2 linked regions of the Drosophila melanogaster genome follow. The protein of the gene in region 1 interacts with the protein of each later gene in a pairwise test. Each region holds a gene or a part of one and is shown on either strand. Other genes may lie near its edges.

Region 1 (9,277 bases):
AAGACACAAAAATGTTGAAACGACGGACTGACTTACATGCATTTTATTAGTAAATAAAAAAATACAACCGAATAAAACAAATATAAATAAAAAAAACAAATATCATTACAACCGAAAACACCAACGGGAAAAAACAGCCGCAAACATTTTTGTAAAACAAATGATTAAAAAGGTTTCGCCAGCAAAGAAAAAACAAGCAAAAACCAACAAGCGCGTGGAAATCGAATGCTGAAAATCGCCCATAAAACGCATAAATAAATAAACTATGCTCAAACGAAATTAATTAAAAAAGAATGGAAAATCAAATCAGGCAAGATAATTAAAACAGTAAGCGCACACGGCAAATAAAGCAACGGCAATATCCTGCCGCAAAAATTGAAAATATCCTGTAAGACGGCTGGGAAAAAGGACGAGCCCTACGAACGAAGAAAGGAAAATGAGGTCGACGAAGGCGAACCCAAAGGCCGGAGTGGATCCCAAAATTGTAATGTACACAAGAAAAACAAAACCGATTTTGCCAAAATAATTGAATTCGCATTATAAAGTACACATTTTCAAATCCACACCCAATAAGCAATACACACAATATATGTACACAAAAGAAATCACCAGCTCATGCGACATTGCAACAAGAAAATGGCAGACTCATTGCCGAGCGGATTCTCAGTGCCGAAGAAAAGTCATTTTTCAAACATTTCCCCCGCCCATTGCTCTGCGATTTTCTTGTCGCGCGTCGCCTCTAAACAATTTCACATTCACAGTCCCACTTCGGCACAAACAATGGCATTTGCAATTTCCATATCATCCAGCTTCGCCCCTTAACTACCCGTCTAAATGTTGTATAATCACAATACCATTTTTATCTGTGCATCTCAGCATCGAGTTGCCATCGAGTTGATTTACCCAAATGAGTCGAGTCAAGACCCCCTTTAGAAAAATTTGCTCGTTATAAAGTGCTTAAAAAATGTTGTAGGGGCTAAAGACCCATTTTAAGCCTATTGATTTAGTCTCATTTGATTACGTATCGAGATGGTTTTTCGCATTGGTAATATTTAAGTGCTGTGATTTAGACAGCAAGGGCTCATGTCTAATGAATTATAATTTAATTATGCATAAGGTAATTGCAATTTGGGCGGGCTCTGTGGCATCATTAATTATTGTATTTGGTTGCGAATGACGGATAATGATAGCCGCCATGCTGATTATTTAATGACATTCCAGGAAGAAGGCGAAAAACATTTTCGGTTTTTAATTACCATTCGCGCTCTGCTCCTACTGAAATTTCAATTTTGATATGCTTTTAAGTGCAGAACGTTCTTTCGAAAGAGTGCAAATATGTTGATTGATTTCTGCCCAGAATGTTCTGGTTCCAAACATGTGAAAAATTTGTGTTTAACCAATCGTTTTCCTGTGTGCTTGCAAATATTTATGTGTTTGTTAAATTTTTAAATTATTTTTTTTTTTTTTTCTTGCAACTTTGGGCGTCTATTTATTTGTTTAGCTTAAAAGTATGAATTACATTTAAAAAGGAAAACATATAGTCGTGTGAATCAATGTCCAGAACAAAAAAAAACCGAATAATGGTTCTGAATGATTCATTCGACGTATAATTTTAACAACTAATTAGCCTAATATGTTTCTATATGACATATATGGAATCATTTTAGAATTCACTATTTCTGGTCGAGTTCAGTATTAATATTTTATCTCGCAAAAAAATTATGACCATTATTCGCTTGAACCCGCTTGCACTTAGTGAAAGTTTGTTATACATTTATGTTTTATTTTAATTTTGCTGCTGAAAATCCCATCGAAATTCCGACAAATAAAGTCGAATCCTCTGCCCGCACATAAGTGCGCCATATAATTTGCATAAGTGCTTGTCATGCATGTGGCATCCACATTCCCATCCACATCCTCGCAAGGGAGCCGCTGCAAGCCAAATGTTCAAATGGGTCACACAAAGTCCCATAAAAGTGGGTTAGGAACGGGTGGCGTAAATCAAAGTTTCCAAACTGAGCTGAGGAGACGAAAATAGCGACTGGGAGAAGCGATTTCGGAAGTGGGGAGACTCGTCTCGTCTCGAGGGGAAAACAAGTCGATTTGGACAATGTCCAAATCTGTGGCAATTATGTGGGTAAAAACAGTCAATAAAACATTGTAATCACCGCTACTGTTTGCCCCATGGCTCAGCTCGATTGTCGCATTTGTGGCATTTGAAATTAAATTTAACCAAATAAACAAGAAATTAGGGGGCGTGCTGTAATTAGTCAAATCTCCGTTTAGTCCTGGAGTTGGAGTGCCTGCCTGCCAACGTTTGGCTTATGGCGCAATTCGTTGTTAGTTCCAGTCACGTTTCATTGTTTACTCGCTGTATGTGTGCCGCCAGCCCGTATTAATTAATGCATAGGAATGTGTATTTAAGCATATTTTAAATATTAATTAATGTAATTTCTATTAAAACTGGCTATCTCCGCGCCCGCCCTTCGCCGGCCCCTCGCCGTTGGAAAAACCTTTCAACAAGCCGCACAATTTTAATTAGAAAAGTTTCATCAAGGCCCTGCACAGCCGCCTTGTATGCTTAACCGAAAAATATATGTTATACATTTATATTGTACATATATACAGATGAAAATATAGCTTTGGCAAACACAAGCCCGATTAAAGTGGGACATTTTTTGTGCTTCCTATTTTCCGGTGGCCAAAGAGGTGGAATTACCGTGAAAACGGCTGGGTTTTTCCATTTAATTTGAATTAGCATTTGTGTTCGAAAATTTGAATTTCCACTTCGGGTGAATTGAATAAGTGTTTGGCCACTTTTCCGCATTGCGAACTTGATTTAAGCTTGGCATTTCAATTTTCGCATTAAAATACTGATAGTTTTTGTTTTCTTCATTTCAGGCAATTCATTTTGAAATTGAAAAATCAATTTTGTTGTAAAACTTTAGGTTAGATTTTTTGTTGGTTAAATGCAAACCATAAGCCCTGGGGTAATGCTTGCGGGAAACTACCAGCTGGCCACCATTTTGTTTTACAAAGATAAAACTGCATTAGGACATTTAAGTTTGAATTGCCATTGAAATTTGCAGTTTGCATATCAATTTACTTTGCATAAACGTTTGCTCACTGCGCGACAGCTTTAAGGACCTTTTTGTTCGATTATTAACCATTCGCCTCGTGGCACTGCCCACACAATACACCGCAACAACTGCAAAAAAACAAAAAAAGCAATGCAGCGAAAGTGCTGCCAGCACTTTTATCTCTACCCCACCGCCCACACACGCCTGCCACGCCCACTTTTCCTACTGCCACTGATGCTGATGGAATTATTGTGTGCTCAACGAACCGCAAACAAAATCTGTGCTCGCTCCTGTTCGTTTTTGTTCACATTTTTAATACACATAAAATGGTGATTTTTTTCACCACTATTTTCAGCTTGTGGCTCTTGGCCATCCGCTCTTATCTTGGCCACAATTTGCTGTAAAGTTATACCGCCCAGCAAACCCAGCTAGCTGTGGCAGGTTGATGCTCGAATTTTGTTGGCTGTTTGTGCCGCAGGTGCGTAATGGCCAGGAGCGATTCGCGCTTATTAATCGCTGCTCATTTGTTTTTTCGAAGTCAAGCCAAAGATGCTGACCAACGCAGACCAATAAATCAAATGTCAGAGACAAAAATTAATTATGCCCGCAATAGCGCTGTCGTAATTTGTAACATAATCCGAGGTGCCTGGCTTCCACGCCCGCACAATTTGTCACAGCTTTTTGGTAAAACGGTGGTGCACGGAGTCCGAAATACTGAGTCCATTTTGCATGTGCAAAATACCGAGTTGTAAAATTTAATAAAACAAATTCCGTTCAAGCGACTTAGCCTCCGACTGAATTCGAATCTCGGCAACATCAAGCCAGAAATTCCGTAGCAGGCAACATTCCGCAAGGCACGAAGGATAAGGGCAGGGTTCTTAGGTCCGCATTCCACCTGATCCTGATCCCGAAGCCCCGAAACTAGCTCAAGACCCGGGCTGAGTCGAAAAAGGAGCCCGAGGCCATTGGCTGGCAAGCAGCATGGTGCACATAGTTTGAGTAGCTATTTTTCAGCAACTTGTTCCCCACCTGAACGATGCTGCTGATGTTGCATACTTTCGTACTTTCATACTAACAAATTCCGACTACCTGGTGTATACATCTATATACATACAATACATACGAGTACCCATATGCACACACGACTGACATCATGGCCACACGCATGAGCTGGCTTCGCTAGCTGCCTTTGTGGAATGCCCTCATGAATTTCATATGCTCCTCCATCTGCCTGCAGTGGCATCAACCTGGGGCATGAGATCCCTTCGGGGCAGCTGAGCCCGTCAAAAACATGCTCGTCCAAATGGCAACTGATTGGAGTTGGGTTGTGGATGTTTGGATCGCTTGCCCATGAATATTTCCAAATAAATGTACTCGACTATTAAAGATTATTGATTGATTAAGAAATTATAATCATTTTTGTTCATTAAGAGGTAACTATTCTCAAGCTTCGATTTGATGGGCTAACGCTCGAAAGTCCTAAGCATGGCCAGAAATGAGCCCGCAGTTCTGATGACCTGCAAGATATAATATCTTAAGTATGCCTTAATAATCCATTACTAAAAACCCACCCAAAGCAGCAGTGGCAAGTCCACAACGAACATGAATCCAAAAATCTTAGCCGGTCGCTGCGCCCTCATGATCACCATTTGCCAGAGTCTTCTTTTCTTTGGCGTCATTTCTGGCCAATTGATTTGACCATAAACGGCTTGTGCGATGGCCAAACTTTGCTGCTTTATATACTCGCCTCCATAGCAATACGAACTCAGTTGGATGATGATGGCCACTAGGAAGGTGGCTCTAAATGGCACCTGGGCACTCCAGCCACTGCGGCTGAAGCGAAAGGCCAACATGCAGAGTTGCAGGTAACTGAGCATGTATTTCACAAAGACGATCTCCCCGAAAATCGAACTTAGTTCCTTGGCCAAATCCAGAGCTATACGATGACGACTAACAAACCCGGTCAGGCGAGAGTCTCCGCCATTCAGATCCTTCTCTTCGAGAACAAGCTCCAGTAGTTGGAACTGAATCACCACATTGTGAGTCAGCCAGGAGAACAGGGTGTCCGTTGCAATGGCCAACCAGGCGGCAGCTGCCACGCCCAGTACGCCCCAAACGTAGATGGGCCAATAAAAGTGAGGCTTTCGCTCGTCCAGCCAGAAGTTGAACTCCATGGGTGTGGTCGGGGTAAATACACCCGTCTCCACATATCCCCACAGGCCAAGCAACATGGGCGCTATGGCCGAGGCACAAATCACTCCGTAGGCGGCATTTCTAAAGGACCTGGCGACATACCTATCCAGTTGGTTTTCCCTCTCGATCTTCTCCAGGTGATTGGGCGTGGCACTGGCCGCCTGGTTTAGCTTATGCAAACGGTGAATCAACGATCCAATGCGCCTTCGTTTCGCCATCATGACCAGGAACTTGAAGGTGCTCTGTGATCCTTGCATAAACACCGCAAAGTTGTCCGTCAGACGGGTCAAGTCGGAGAGATCCTGCAGGGCATAGACTACCATGGGCCAGTTGTGAGAGATCAAGGACAGGATGAGAATCCCGGCCCAGATGGGATGTTTCAGACTCAGTTGCGGAGTACTGGGATCGAATCCAACTATTTCCAGAGCTCTTCTCTGGACGGCAAAGTAGCTGGCGTCCATGTTGGTCTTTCAACCGGATTTCGTTGTTGCACCAACTTTTATAGCAGCCACTGGGGGCAAAAAAAAAAAGAAAAAAAAGAAAGCTAAGTGGATGCCGTTGCCGCCCCTGAAATTGTGCCTGAAATATTTATTTCATCCGTTAACAGGCTACGTGACACGGTTACCACTACCACACTGGCTGTGCTGTTTTGATTGGAAATTTTCCCATTTCCATTTAGGGGGGCGTAAATATCGTATTAACAAATAAATACCCAACACAAGTGGAAGTGGTGCGACACGTTGTTTACCTATTTGTTTACATTCTATTTGGTTATCTATCTATTTATTTTCACTTTAACATTTAAATGCCTGACTGGACAATGGCATGTTCTTATACAAGACCGCAAGGGTTATGATTATGAACAAGTTGTGATAGATATAATTTTTTCTGTAGCCTTGACATTTGGGCTAGAGCAAAGCATTTTTCCTTTTAAATTCCTTTTAAATTTGTGTATTTTGTACCAAAAAGTTAGCGTAAAAATTCCCTGTAAATACACCAAAATGAAATTAATTTTTGGGCTGGCCCCAAAAATCCTTTTTTTTCCCAATTTGTTTGCCCTCTGGGAGGAAAATGTCGGGACCCATTTGGTCCGCACTTTATTCGCGAGTAATTCAATTACGTGGGAAATCAACAAGTAAATCTGCTTTCGAAATTTATCGCCGGGACTAGACGAAATCGAGTGAAATAGCCATTTGCCAGGCCACATTATCTCCAAGCGTTTTTTCCCCCCGATTTGCATTTTGGGTTCTTTGCCTTTGGGTTCGGCTTAATGTCACCTTAACTGCTCTCAATTAATCTAGAGTGGGTGTGCCAAATAAAGACCTTTTCCTGGAATTTTAATAACCATCATTTGCATTTTTCCGAAGGATATTCGTAGCTGACTTGTTCAAAGTTGCGGCTACAAAAGTTATGCAACGTTATTTAGAGCGAGCTATGTACATATGTTGGCCTCCGGCCAATTGTGAATACAAAGAGTTATGTTTGAAAAACATGTTCAGTAATTAATTAAATTTACACTTGCAGATTTTTATTTAAATTTCATAGAGTCTGAGTAGTCATTGCAGTCGCACGTTTTCACATATTCGCCCGTTTGCATATCAAATTGATATTTTATGCAAAATATTTACCGAAAAGCCACAAAAGCAATAATGCCAGTGGCTGTGTGCGAAAGAGAGGGTCAGTATGTGCGAAAGAGAGAGGCACAATGAGAGTGAGAAAGAGAAAAAAAAGAAAAATGGGGAAAACGGAGAAGAGCACACCTGCTGCTCGATAATTTTGACGTCGGTCCGGCTTTTGGACTCCTCAGCAATTTGCTTACCATCTGTCTCTTTCTCCTGAAACATCTCTCCCTCTCTTTCGCACACCATGTGCCCATCTCTCTCGCTCCACTGAGGTTTTCGTGTCTTTTGCGGCTTTGTTTATTTCATTGCCTTCATGTAAGTGAAGGTGTGGCTGTGTGTGTGCATGTGCGACTCCTTTGTGTGTCACCCATTTTGGAGGTTTTTTATGAGCTTGTGGCGAACCGTAAAAAAAAACCGTCTTCCAAATGGAGTGGCATGCCAGGCTTAACCAGCTTGCCGAACTCTTGCTTGCCAGACCCCACTTGCCCCCCAACTCGTCTTCTTTTGTTCAGTTTAAGGAACTAGCAAAATGTTTCACATCATGTTGATCATTTGTTGCCCTATCAGCGGGAGTTTAGGGGTACAGATAGAGTGTACGGAGCTGGGAGATACCAAAGAGATTACCAAAGATACCATAGGGAAAACATTTTATTTAATACGAGTCTTTGATCCCTTTGCTGTTAATCATATGATGTTTTATTTGAACACAAGCCACCACAGAAAAGTTAACAAGTTTGTGACTTAATAAACTTTGAGAAAAGTGAACAATTTGGTATTTTATTTAAATTTATGGCTTGTATTATTAGAATTTGCATGTTTAAATCCTAAATCCTAATCCAATTCAAGGGTATCTGTGCCTCGAGTGTACTTAATGGCCATTCCTTCGACTAGGTTGCATCCTGAGTACTAGCAATTTTTCAGCCACATTACACAGCTTTCTCTTGTCCGGCTGAAAATAGAGAATGTAACTAAGATAGAAAGGGAGCGCTGGATGCAGTTAGAGAGGGACAGGTTGAGAGGTACATCGAGTGTGTGTTCCACATGAGCAGCGAAGGAATTGAATAAAGTTAGCATGCCGCCGCAGGGAATGAGCCACTCCCAACCTGCGTGGAAGTATGCTGTGTGGTGGGGCAAAAGCATCATTCAATAAAAAATTAATAGAAAAACATTCAATGAACGTGGCACAATGGCGCCAAAGGGCCACCGGCAGATATCCCGTTCCCAATCGCTACGTCCTCGTGCCCGTGCTCGACTGCAACGCTGATGAACAAGCCATCCTGTGTTCGGAAATCACAGGTAATGTGGTTTTACGAGCGCCGTGAGACAGGTGAATCCTGCCCAAAACCCCTGCCCCCATTCCGCTGATAAATGCAGCCCAGCCCCGACTTGCTCGTGAGCCTGACAGCGTACAGGGCATACAAAGCATGCTAATAAAAACATATACTACGTCATCTACATGCTCATGAAGGGAAGAGGGGGGGGGGGTGGGGGGAGCAGGTTGGCTTCGTTGCGGGTGTGGATTTTGTAAGCCGATGTGCAACACTTTTTTGTATAGCCCGGCAGGCAGCCAACCGTTGATTATACTAAACTTGTTTACTTATGCTGCTGCTAGTACATGTGTGTATATCCTTGTGTGTGTGTGTGTGCCTTTCACTGCATGTGTGTGTGTGTGTCGGAAAAGTGCAAATTTCAGCATAACCAAGCATCCTTGACGACCAAACTCGCTGTGCCTGTGTAAATTTTGGCTTAGCCACGCGGGCGTTAAGCAGCAGCAAGAGCAAAGCAAGCAGTGGTCCAGAAGGATGTTGGAAAGGGTTTGGGAATGGGCTACTACTACGAAAGGAGGGGCTGAAAGCTGCTGGAGAGAAGGGGATAATGGAGCGGGCGAGTGAGAAGCTGCTATTACCAAGTGCAAAGTGTGGCTCAGTGTGATGAATGACGCCAAAAAATTTGATGGTACCCGATTAACATAATGATTTGCATACGTTTAGCGTGTCCTTGCAGCACGAACATCTCACAAAGTGTCGAAGAAAGCTCCCCTAACGAAGGAAGAGTATCGTCTTGATTGACAAGCCCAAGTGGGCGGCGGATGAAGGGGAGTGTCAATGTTGCATTCCAAGCAGATGCAGTGCATTTCGAAAAAAGACACCCAAAGTAGCGTGTGAAGGTCCTTAAAGTGATACGTTCTTAAAGATTTGCATAATCATTGCTGTATTCATGCATTTACAGGAGTCTAACAAGTCAAAGAATGTTTGTAGACCCAACTCGAGATATCTATGTGAATTTTCCAGGATGTGAATGATGAGTGAATACTCATTTTTAGTTGGACTACAAATTTATAATGTGTGTGTACCCAGTATTAGGGTACTTGTGCCTAATACT
Region 2 (10,063 bases), on another chromosome or scaffold:
GGGGCGCCCCATCGCGATTTGTGCGTGGTCGTGGTCGCGGAGGCGGAGCCTACCGTCCGTACTTCTACTTTCGGCGCAATGGACGTGTGATCCCAGCCGGAGGCAATCGACAACCCAACCAAGGGGAACCTGGAGCACCAGACGCTCCTTCTGTTCCGCCTGCAACTCGGCAACCCAGGGGCTGGAGCCGCACAGCCGGCAAGCGAGGACGCAATGCTCACTTGGACTGCAGCTTTCTGCGGCCGGAAAACTATGCCGCACCAGAAGACGGGCTCCAGGTGCAGAGCATTGCGGTGGATAATCCACGGGCTTATTCCGGCTGGCGACTGTACTTCTTGCGCGAGAAATACGAGGAGGGCAACGAACTGGCCACAAGGATAATGGCCGTGGAGGCATACTACCAACGTAATCCTCACACCTTCGATTTTGTGATGATACGGGATCGGGGATTCTTCCCCCTCTGCGCAGCAGGCATCAAATCAGATGCCCAGCTAAAGGAGGTTTGGCCTAGTTTGTCCGAAGACATCCGTGAGCACCCGCTTCGCACGCTAGGAACCCTGTCGTTGGCTATGCACACTGTGGTCGTCAATCACCAGCTGGACTGTAATGATTCCACCACAGCTATGGTGTCCACTCCGGAACAGTACGTCCTTCCAACCCCACGGGTACGCAAGATCTACGCACGACCGGATGATTTTGTGCCTGTGGAATCAATAGAAGGAATAAGCCATTCCCGAGTGGACACTTTGTTTTCCATCCGGGGTTTTGTGAGCAATGTGGGCGAGCCTAGCTACAGCCTCACGTGGCAAGCCTTTCGCTGCAGTCGCTGCCAGATGGAGATTGCCATGCGCCAACGGGGAACCTTCCAGCCACGTCCTTATCAATGCAAGCGGTCGGAGTGTGTGGCTCGTGACGAATTCGTGCCTCTTCGCAGTTCCCCATACACCAGGCTTTCAATCCGACAGATTATCCGCGTGGAGGAGTCCAGTTTGAACTTGGTCCACGACTTTGAGACCAGCATGCCTGCTGAAATGGACGTGGAGCTGCGACATGATCTAGTTGATGCTGTGCGTGTCGGACAGGAGGTCGTGGTAACTGGCATCCTTAAGCTGCAGGAATTGGGCGACGATACCACCACTGGAGACACCTCCAACCAGATGCAGCCCTATCTCAAGGCAGTCAGCATTCGCGATGCGAGCAGCATCAAGCGGGAGTTCAGCGAACGTGACTTGGAAGCGATTGTCATGATCAATGCGGAACCCAACAGCTTTAAGCTACTGGTGCAATCCATTGCCCCGGAGGTATACGGACATGAGCTACCCAAAGCCGCCTGTTTACTATCCCTTCTCGGCGGGAAAGGTGCGGAGACTGAAGCCATCAACGTGCTCCTGGTGGGTGATCCCGGAATTGGAAAGACCAAGATTCTGCAAAGTTGTGCTCAGATCGCTGAACGTGGTGCCCACGTGAGTGGAAAACGTGGGGCTCAATCCGCACAGCAACTGGGTGTTACGTTTGCTGGGCGTAACAAGCGTGTGCTACAAGCGGGTTCCTTGATGATGGCCAGTGGAGGCGGTCACTGCACCCTCGATGATGTGGATAAACTTGCCTCCAAGCAGGCCGTACTGTTGCAGTGCCTACAATCAGAGGAAGTAAATCTTCCACTTGCAGGAGCATTTGCCTCATTCCCGGCGCAACCTTCGGTGATAGCGTGCGCAAATCCACAAAGAGGACAATACGATGAGGGGCGCTACCTTCTACAGAATATTAATATTTCACCCTCTTTGCTGCGGGAGTTCCATTTGGTTTACATATTATTGGACAAGCCCTCGGAGAGAGATATGTCGCTGACTGCCCACGTAAGGGCTCTCCATGCGGGCGCTAGGAAACGAGCGAGAATTGCAGCCCGCTATGCTCTTAAGCCCAAAATGAGCGACTCCATGTGCGAGGTCAGCCTTAATGTGCCGGCAGCGGGAAAAGATGATGACACAATCAAAACGGAGGACGATAATGACAGCATTATGCAGCAGGATTATGATCTTGACAAACGTCTGGAGGTACTTCCGGAGGAGGGGGACTTGGACCTGCTCCCACCCATACTGATTAAGAAGTTCTTGTCCTATGCTCGCCAGGAATTAAATCCGGTCCTAAACGAGGACGCCAGCAATGCTGTTCTGCGTTACTTCCTTGAGCTCAAAGGAAGCTGCAATCTCGATGAAGACGTTTCCAGCCAGATTGGCGCAGGGTAAGTGAAATTTTTTGGTGACGGATTTAATTAAGTTATGTCTTTTATTCTAGTTATAAGTAATCTTTAAGTTAGGACATTGGGCTACCTCATAAGCTTGAGGAAGGAGGAGACGGGAAGCTCCAGAAAGATGGCCAGCAAGAAGGAGCAGAGATAGGACACGGTCACCGTAAAAAAGATGAAAGCAAACTGTAGATAAGATGAGAACAATTTGAGTTACATAAAATCCAATTCCTATTGAATGCCAGAAGTGAGCTCACCATCATGCCCGTGCCAAAATAAATGGGCTCCCGCACTGTGGCCAAGACGATTCTCGCCACAAGAAGGTGGACGATAAAGGCTCCATAAGTGAGGCGTCCCAAAATGCGGAAAATGGGCAAGCAGCAGAACTTACGGAAAATCCCTGTGAAAGAACAGTAAGATTTGCCAAGGATATACCAAGCATATCTCGCAGTTGATACTTACATCCCACTTTGCTGGCCATGCCCACGATGAAGATTCCCAGCCCGAAGCCCCAGATGTTTCGCTGCAGGCCGGCATATAATGCTCCCCAAATGGCCGACGGCGTCACGTAGTAGTGCTGGAAGATGGGATGAGCACTAAACAGCCATAGAATCCCCACTGGAATAAGTGTAAACCAAAGAAGCTGGAAGCTCTTTAACTCCCGTAGTTTGTATTGCTTCAATGCCAACTGATCGTAAACCAAAGCGGCCAGGACTCCACAGAAATAGCTACCGAAGTTCATAAAGGACGACGTGTAGAATTCGGTGAATTGACGATCTCCGATAAAGGAATCCTTCTGGGTTCTGTTTGGTAGATGGGTAGAATGATTGTAATCAAGTAGTAAAGTTTTTAAGTCCGATCACTTACTGTGGCGTGGGTACAAAAATGGGATAGTAGTTCATGGCATATGTGAGCACCATTGGCACCACCACAAAAAGACCCAAAATGCCCGCATAGAGCTGTTTGCTCCATCTGACGAACCGGTGACCCAGCATCAGCAGCACCAAGCTGAGCACAAAGGAATGAGTATCCGCTGCCAAATACCAACCTTGGAGCAGGCACTGCATCCCGAATGGAATTTTGAGTGGATTAGATGATAAATTAGATAAAGCACTCATTACTTACCCGCTCATCCGTGCGTACAAAGTTGTTGACGTAGAGCAGATTGGTCCACCAGTTGCGTCGACAAGCCAACTGCTCCCGCTCAAAGATGTGCCGCCACAGTGGACCTCCAGCGTTCTCAAAGTAAACGCCACTCATGAGCAATACAAAGGCATATGGAACCGTCAGTCGGATGTATCGGAAGATGTTAAACTTGACAAATAGCAAAGCATACTGGCCGAAGCTCCAGGTGTCCTTTTTAGATTCTAGCGAACGTGAAACGGCCAGCCAGTTAATGGTAAGCAACAAACCACTGATCACAAAAAAGGTCACAGTGATCAATGATCCCGAAACGAGTAAAGTGCCAGCTGCCGTGTGAAGCAGTCGCTCCGGATCCTGCGGATTGCTGATGGCGCTCTCGTAAATCACCCAGTTGGTGTGCGCAAATATCACCATGAACATGGCAAAGAACTTGAAGCAGTCGAGAAATCTCAGCTCGCGACCGATCTTACCACTTGGCTCCTGATTAAGTCGGTACCAATTGCGGGCCACCGAAAAGGTGAGCAGCACCTGTTGGGCAGTGCTCTTGGGCGGTGTCTTGTAGTGATCTCGCTCCTTGAGCATTTTATCATGACGGCTTCGCTTTAGATGCAGATCCACTAAGCTACCCAGACAAGCCAGAACCAGTAGAGTGCCCAAGATTCCGTAGAAGGTCAGGTTCCACGCATCTAAAGCCGAGAAGGAATATTTATTTTATCGGTCGTTAGTATTACCTCATCGCCATTAAATGCATAACACTTTTTGGATGCTAATGCAAAGAAACATTATTTACACGATGATATAATCTGTGACTCACCATCTTCCACTTGATGTCCCGCCTCATCGCAGTACTCCACCACGCTCTTGGCCAGCACCCCGAATCCACGACGCTGCAGACGCCAGTTCAGGCAGGCATTTGTCAAGCGCTGGTGCCGTTGGCGGTTATTGGCTTCCATCGAGAACAAGTCCAGATATACGTTCACCTGCCGAATATTGCATTGACCATGTTGCGATCATTAAAATACCAAAATGTCAACGTCAGGCCCTTGGCCTTGAAAGAAATGAGTTCGATTTGATTTGATGGAATTGGATCGAATTTCGCTGTCTGACCGCCCATTTCCATTTTTAGCCAACGCCTAAGCCAATATAAGCGCTTTGTTTAATCAGCCATCGTAAATGCATTTTGATGGCGACTGCATCAATGGCATCGCCACACCATTCCCCATCCCCATCTCCCATCTGCTGGCAGCACCCATTGCCCCGCTATCCGATGTTTAATCAGCGGATTTTCCGGCTGTAATTTATGCAATATTTATAGGTAATGAAGATACAGATCACGCATTTAGCCAGAGGCGTCTGCAAGGGGGATCTTTGAAATGGGATTCATTTTATGTTCGTTGTGAGAGGGACCCTTGAAATTGGCCACTTTCAAAAAACGATAAACCTGTTTAAAAACATACTCGAATATTTAAGAAGTTAAAACATGATAGCTCTTTATAGCAAGCAGATATAAACCTTTGTATATGCCAATGACAAATATGTGAACTAAAACCCCCTTTACTGCGCCACTGCCCACATAATGTGCAGCTCACGGGGAGCTCGAGTTGAATAAACTTTGGCGTTGTTATCCCGGCTTCTGTGTCCGATGATTGTTGATTGACCATTACGGCCGACGCCTCGGCAAGCGGATGGGTTTTGAAATATGTGTATTTGTATCTGTATCTGCCCAGCAGCGAATTCGAAGATTGAATTAAATCGATCGTTAGCCGCAGCTGAATCGCTACCAATGAGGTGACACCTCCGTGTGGCCTTACCTTTGCATTTTCCGATAGCAGGCCGGCTTGCAGGGCCTCCAGTTCGCTTTTATTCAACCCGGCCAGAGACGCCTCACATTCGCGCAGGCAGAGACCGAAATAGAGCTGTCGGTGATCGAAGTGATGGCGATCGTACTGCGAAATCTCTGCAATTGCCCGCCATGCCGCTACAGACTCATCGGGCTGGACTTCCGCGCGGACGAAGCAGTAAGTGGACGCCTGGCCATTCAATTCCTGGAGGCAACGATCATAGTCATCCAAGTCGTATAGAGGAGGCATCTCATAGAACTGCGTCACTGCAAAGTGGAAGGGAACGGAGCAGATCAAGAAACAATATGGTGAATCAGTCGGATAAATCGGCTCATTAAGTGGGAAACAAGTTTCTGAACTGGGCAGGTCCTTTTTTCGCTAGAACTGCAGTCCGGGTTCATTGGCTGGTCAGTCAAGTGAAAGGAAACTAGTTTCCTTTGCCCGAGCTTGAACTTGTTTTGCATTTGCTGGAAGATTCTTCCGATTCTTCTCTATTCCGATTGATGGAATCAACCAAACAAGCATATGTCAATATTGTAATCGCACTGCCTTTGGTTTTTTTTTTTTTTTTTTGCTGGTCAAGTCAAGTTCGAGTGCCTCAATCTCTTGGCAAATTCCAGACACTTTGGCTGAGTTAATTGTTTGTCAAAATACTGCTTCGTCATCAAATTTGTAGCCCGAATTCGGGCGGGGAACTTTTGGAGCCGAACACGCAAATAGGCGGATCAGGTGCATATTGGGATAATGCTAGCGTTGGCAAAGTGTTCTATAGTTATATCGATTGACAAGCATAACATGCAATCTGAACAAATGGAACTGCATAATGGTTTTCAATTTGTCGGCTTAGAACTTCCCCGTTGCCAAAGGAAGCACGAAAAACGCTTATTCAACTTGCATTAATCATGGGTTTTACGTGATTTGTGGTTTTAACTACGTTGTAATATTTATTCAATACAAGCTCTATAATTCCCCTATAACTCTAGTTACTCAAATACTAGAACTCATTTATTAGTTTATGAAATTGTTGATTTGAGAAGAGTATTACGTTCTCTACTTAGCACAAGCCTTCCTACACCATTTACATATTGCTAGTCTGATTATTTAACAACTATCAGAACTTTTAATAGGCTCATAAACAAAATTAACACGGAACATAAATCTTTCCCATTGATTGTAATACACACTTACTGTTCAATTGAAAACACTGCGCAGCCGTAAAAGTGGCTGCTAAAATCACGATGTGAAGCATCATCATCGTCATGGGATGCATCGAATCGCCGATTGTAATGCACCCTCTAATTGATTGTCTTCGACTCTTGGCACTTTCGTCACTCGAACTCCAATCGAATGCAACGCCAGCGCACCAATAACAATAAGAAGCGGAATTTCATCAACCGACGCGACTCGAGGTAAATGAAGCAAAAAAACAAAGCAGATGACCAGACCCAGGGGCTTCTGCTGTCCGGCCAATGCCGATGTTAGGAAATGCACTTTTGGCCCAAAACCCAATCGAAACCCGACCGAATGGAATTGATCCGCCAGCTAATGAACCGTTTGCGCCAACGTGCGAGCCGAGAATGAAATGCGGTCCGAACAGATGCGTGCGTCTAGGGCCTCTGGATGAGATGGGGCTTCGCTGCCTATGCCTCGGCCTCTGCCTCTGTCGATGCAGTTGCTGTAATGATGATGGGTTTCAAAACTCCCCCGAGAAATGCGTTGGTTTCCGAAAAATAAAATAAAAAGGCAAAGGGAAAAATGCGTTGGAACATGTTCGATGCTGGGCTCTTCAGTCGCCCACATCCAACTGATTTATGATTACATTTCGGGTTTCCGATCGAGTTAGTTTTCATTGGGCATCAGAGTTGCCCACTTATACCTATTTTTGTTTTGGGCGAAAACTTACGAAAAGGAGCTGGAATTTTAAATTTAAAATCAAATATTTTTATCAAATCCATTTAAAGTACGCCAGAATAAAGCTTAATTAGCAAAAGTGTTGGGCGTGATTGTACGACCAGTTGGGTGACTTAGAAATACAATTAAAAACATTCATCTGCCAAAACAAGTTTTCGGCAAATATGGAGATACATATATTATCATACTTCTGAAAAGAAATGTTTACCTACGGCGTAAATGATGAGAAAAACAAGATGCGAAATTAATTGAGGGTCAAGAAGATGAGGCCCACGTACGGCCTCGGGACCTTAAATTTGAAAACTGTGCTCAAAATGGAAACAAAATGGAATACACGTTTGAAGAACTTTTGGCAAAAGGTCAGAAATCAAAAGACTTAGGCAACAAACCTGCTTTATCAATTTTGCCCATATATATGTTTACTTACTATAAGAATACTAATCTAAAAAATACTAATTAAGGTGTTCACAGTCTGCTTGTGTTTCATTTATGAAATACCTAAAGGCAATTTTATACAGTTGTAAGATTTATTTAAGAACCTTAAATTATAAGGTAACACTTATATTGGCTTATTCTTCTTGTAAGGCAACTTCTTGCGATAATTCACCTGTCGCAGGCACGTGCTCGCCTGGATTTATCCCACGTGGTCAGTCCGCAGCACGTGCGCGATGTGATCGCCCTGCTGACCGAGAGCATCACCCAGACCAGCCTCAAGGAGGGCTCCAGCAGGCAAGGAACTCGAGGAGGAGGCGGCGCTGGAGGAGGAGCCGGAAAGAGCGCTCAACTGCGCAATTTTTTGGAGCTTACGAAGAGACGTTCGGCGGCATTGGGGCGACGCATCTTCGAATTCGATGAGCTAAAGGAAATTGGAACCCGGGCTGGCATTTTGACTGGCTTTAGCCAGCTGGTGGAAATGGCTAACCTGGGTGGCTATTTGCTCATGAAGGGCGCAAACATGTACGAAGTGGTTCCGGACTAGGCAAATGACAAACGATATAGTGCCAATATTTGGCTAACGTCTGTGGTTTTTGTTTCTGGTTAACTATAAGTTAAGTGGGTTCTAAAATGAGGCAAGCCAAGCCGTCTAGCAATTAATAATAAATGCCATGGAAAACATTTTTCTGTTTGAAACTCACACCATTACGTTCTAGTTGTGGTTATATTGATTACATTTTTATAAAGTTAAATTTAATAAGCATACTTTCGGGACCATATCAATTTCACTTGATATATTCTTGCCCAGTACTTTCGTTGAAAATATTTAAAGATAAGAAGTAAATCTTCTCGGAGAATCGCTCTTGCAATTCGTTTCAATGACAAACGCACATTCCACAATTGGTTTCATATAATACTTTATTTTCTTGTATCCATAAAATTAGATATATAGTAATAAGTTTTTATAAATAAATACACAAAACAGTTGTTTCCGTTAGAAGTAATCCATCCCATCCTTCGTCATTTTATCCCTACGTTCTGGATATTTTAGAGTTTATGTCTTGCTTGCTTTGAATGCTTTGTTTCTGAATTCAGTAGTAACTATTTGAATGACTCTCGTATACGACAATACCAGAGCTGAGAGAGGGCTTAGCTTAAATCTATAAGTGGTATATCGGATATTAGAGCTATTTTTACCGTGCCTGGAAATCCTATTCGACTATTTACAATATTGCTAGTGAATGTAATGTAATATTTGGCTTATACTTTTGCTACCCCACTACGTTGCTCGTTTAAAACTTATATCCTACATACACTTGTGTTTTGGTTAATTCTGGATAAGGGCTAGGAGTGAATAGATTAATTGAGATTAATATTACATGCCAATTTTGCAATCGTTTTAGGCTAATCAGTCTAAACAAATCGATGCGAACGCTAATCGCGCAAACGAAAACAAAAATTGATTTAATTTGCTCTCTAAATATTTCATTCTAAAATCAAGCTAGTTCTTAATCTAAGCTGTTTCATTTCCATGGTGCGATTTAGTTCAAGTTTATTGCACATATATTTTAGGGTATGAAGCTGGGAGGCTTAAGCGGAATGCATTGCTCAGGGCAGTCGAGTTGGGTATTTTGGCCTATTGCATTAAGTCGAGCTGAAGGTTTATTTGGGTGGGTCGATTTATATAAATAAAGAGTTTAAAGAATTTCTGGCTAACATGTAGTTTGTAATATTATACCTTTTTGAATAAAATATACGTTTTTTAGAAAAGTCAACAGGTAACTAGACGTAGCCTCGTTTCTTCTTACGCTTTGATCTTTTAAACAGACGAACAGAATTCGAACTAGTCATTAACTTTCATTCTACATGAATCAACAAAAAAAAAAAAACCTAACCACCCTATGTTTGTATGTTTATAACTATGTCGTGTGCTTTGTACTTTCAAAACTGTTGGAGACAGACATTAGACGTGACGAGAACTAAATAAAGCTGAAAACTTTGCACTTGGCGTTTACCACTAACTATTAGAACTAAACCACAAATAAATATGATAACTATTTCCGCTAAATACACTGCAGCCACCTTACACCTCCGAGCGGAAAGTAAGGTTAAAGGTGCGTAGCTCCATTGGTTCCAGACTGATCTCGGCCAGAGAGCGTATGTGGTAGCTCTCCCTGGACGATTTCTGCTCCGTCCCCGTCAAGCTGGTGGCTTCGATTGTATGCAGGCTGAGCCGACCTAGCTGCACATTACCCAATCCCTTGCTGGACAGGGGACATATGGCCTCCATAGACAATTCCCTGCCAGCGCTTACACTGCAATCGAATCCTTGGCGATGCAAAACTAGCAGCGCCGAGGCGGACGGAAACAGTTGCAACTCCGGATCGGATAGGGTACGCAGGGTGGTTAGGTGTACGTCACAGGGCAGCGGTCCCTTAGGCAAAAGCCTGACCAAAGGCAGCAATGCAGCGGCCAGTTCTGGCTGCTC

What was found. The genes of interacting proteins can lie anywhere in the genome.
Region 2: the proteins of Or45a (region 1) and CG4576 interact in a two-hybrid assay, tested with the Drosophila melanogaster proteins (one large-scale study listed by BioGRID).

The regions. Positions count from the first base shown.
Region 1 is NT_033778.4:9,341,879-9,351,155, reverse strand, and holds Or45a (odorant receptor 45a), read right to left. Parts: upstream 5,808-9,277; 5' UTR 5,735-5,807; coding exon 4,652-5,734; intron 4,598-4,651; coding exon 4,544-4,597; 3' UTR 2,293-4,543; downstream 1-2,292. UniProt on the Drosophila melanogaster protein: Odorant receptor which mediates acceptance or avoidance behavior, depending on its substrates. The odorant receptor repertoire encodes a large collection of odor stimuli that vary widely in identity, intensity, and duration.
Region 2 is NT_033777.3:15,822,533-15,832,595, reverse strand, and holds CG4576 (uncharacterized protein), read right to left. Parts: upstream 6,850-10,063; 5' UTR 6,500-6,849; coding exon 6,418-6,499; intron 5,496-6,417; coding exon 5,200-5,495; intron 4,369-5,199; coding exon 4,203-4,368; intron 4,075-4,202; coding exon 3,371-4,074; intron 3,307-3,370; coding exon 3,113-3,306; intron 3,049-3,112; coding exon 2,708-3,048; intron 2,646-2,707; coding exon 2,503-2,645; intron 2,432-2,502; coding exon 2,327-2,431; 3' UTR 2,275-2,326; downstream 1-2,274. Other genes in the region: rec (recombination-defective), read left to right, coding at 1-2,242, 7,726-8,119; alpha-Man-IIb (alpha-Mannosidase class II b), read right to left, coding at 9,659-10,063.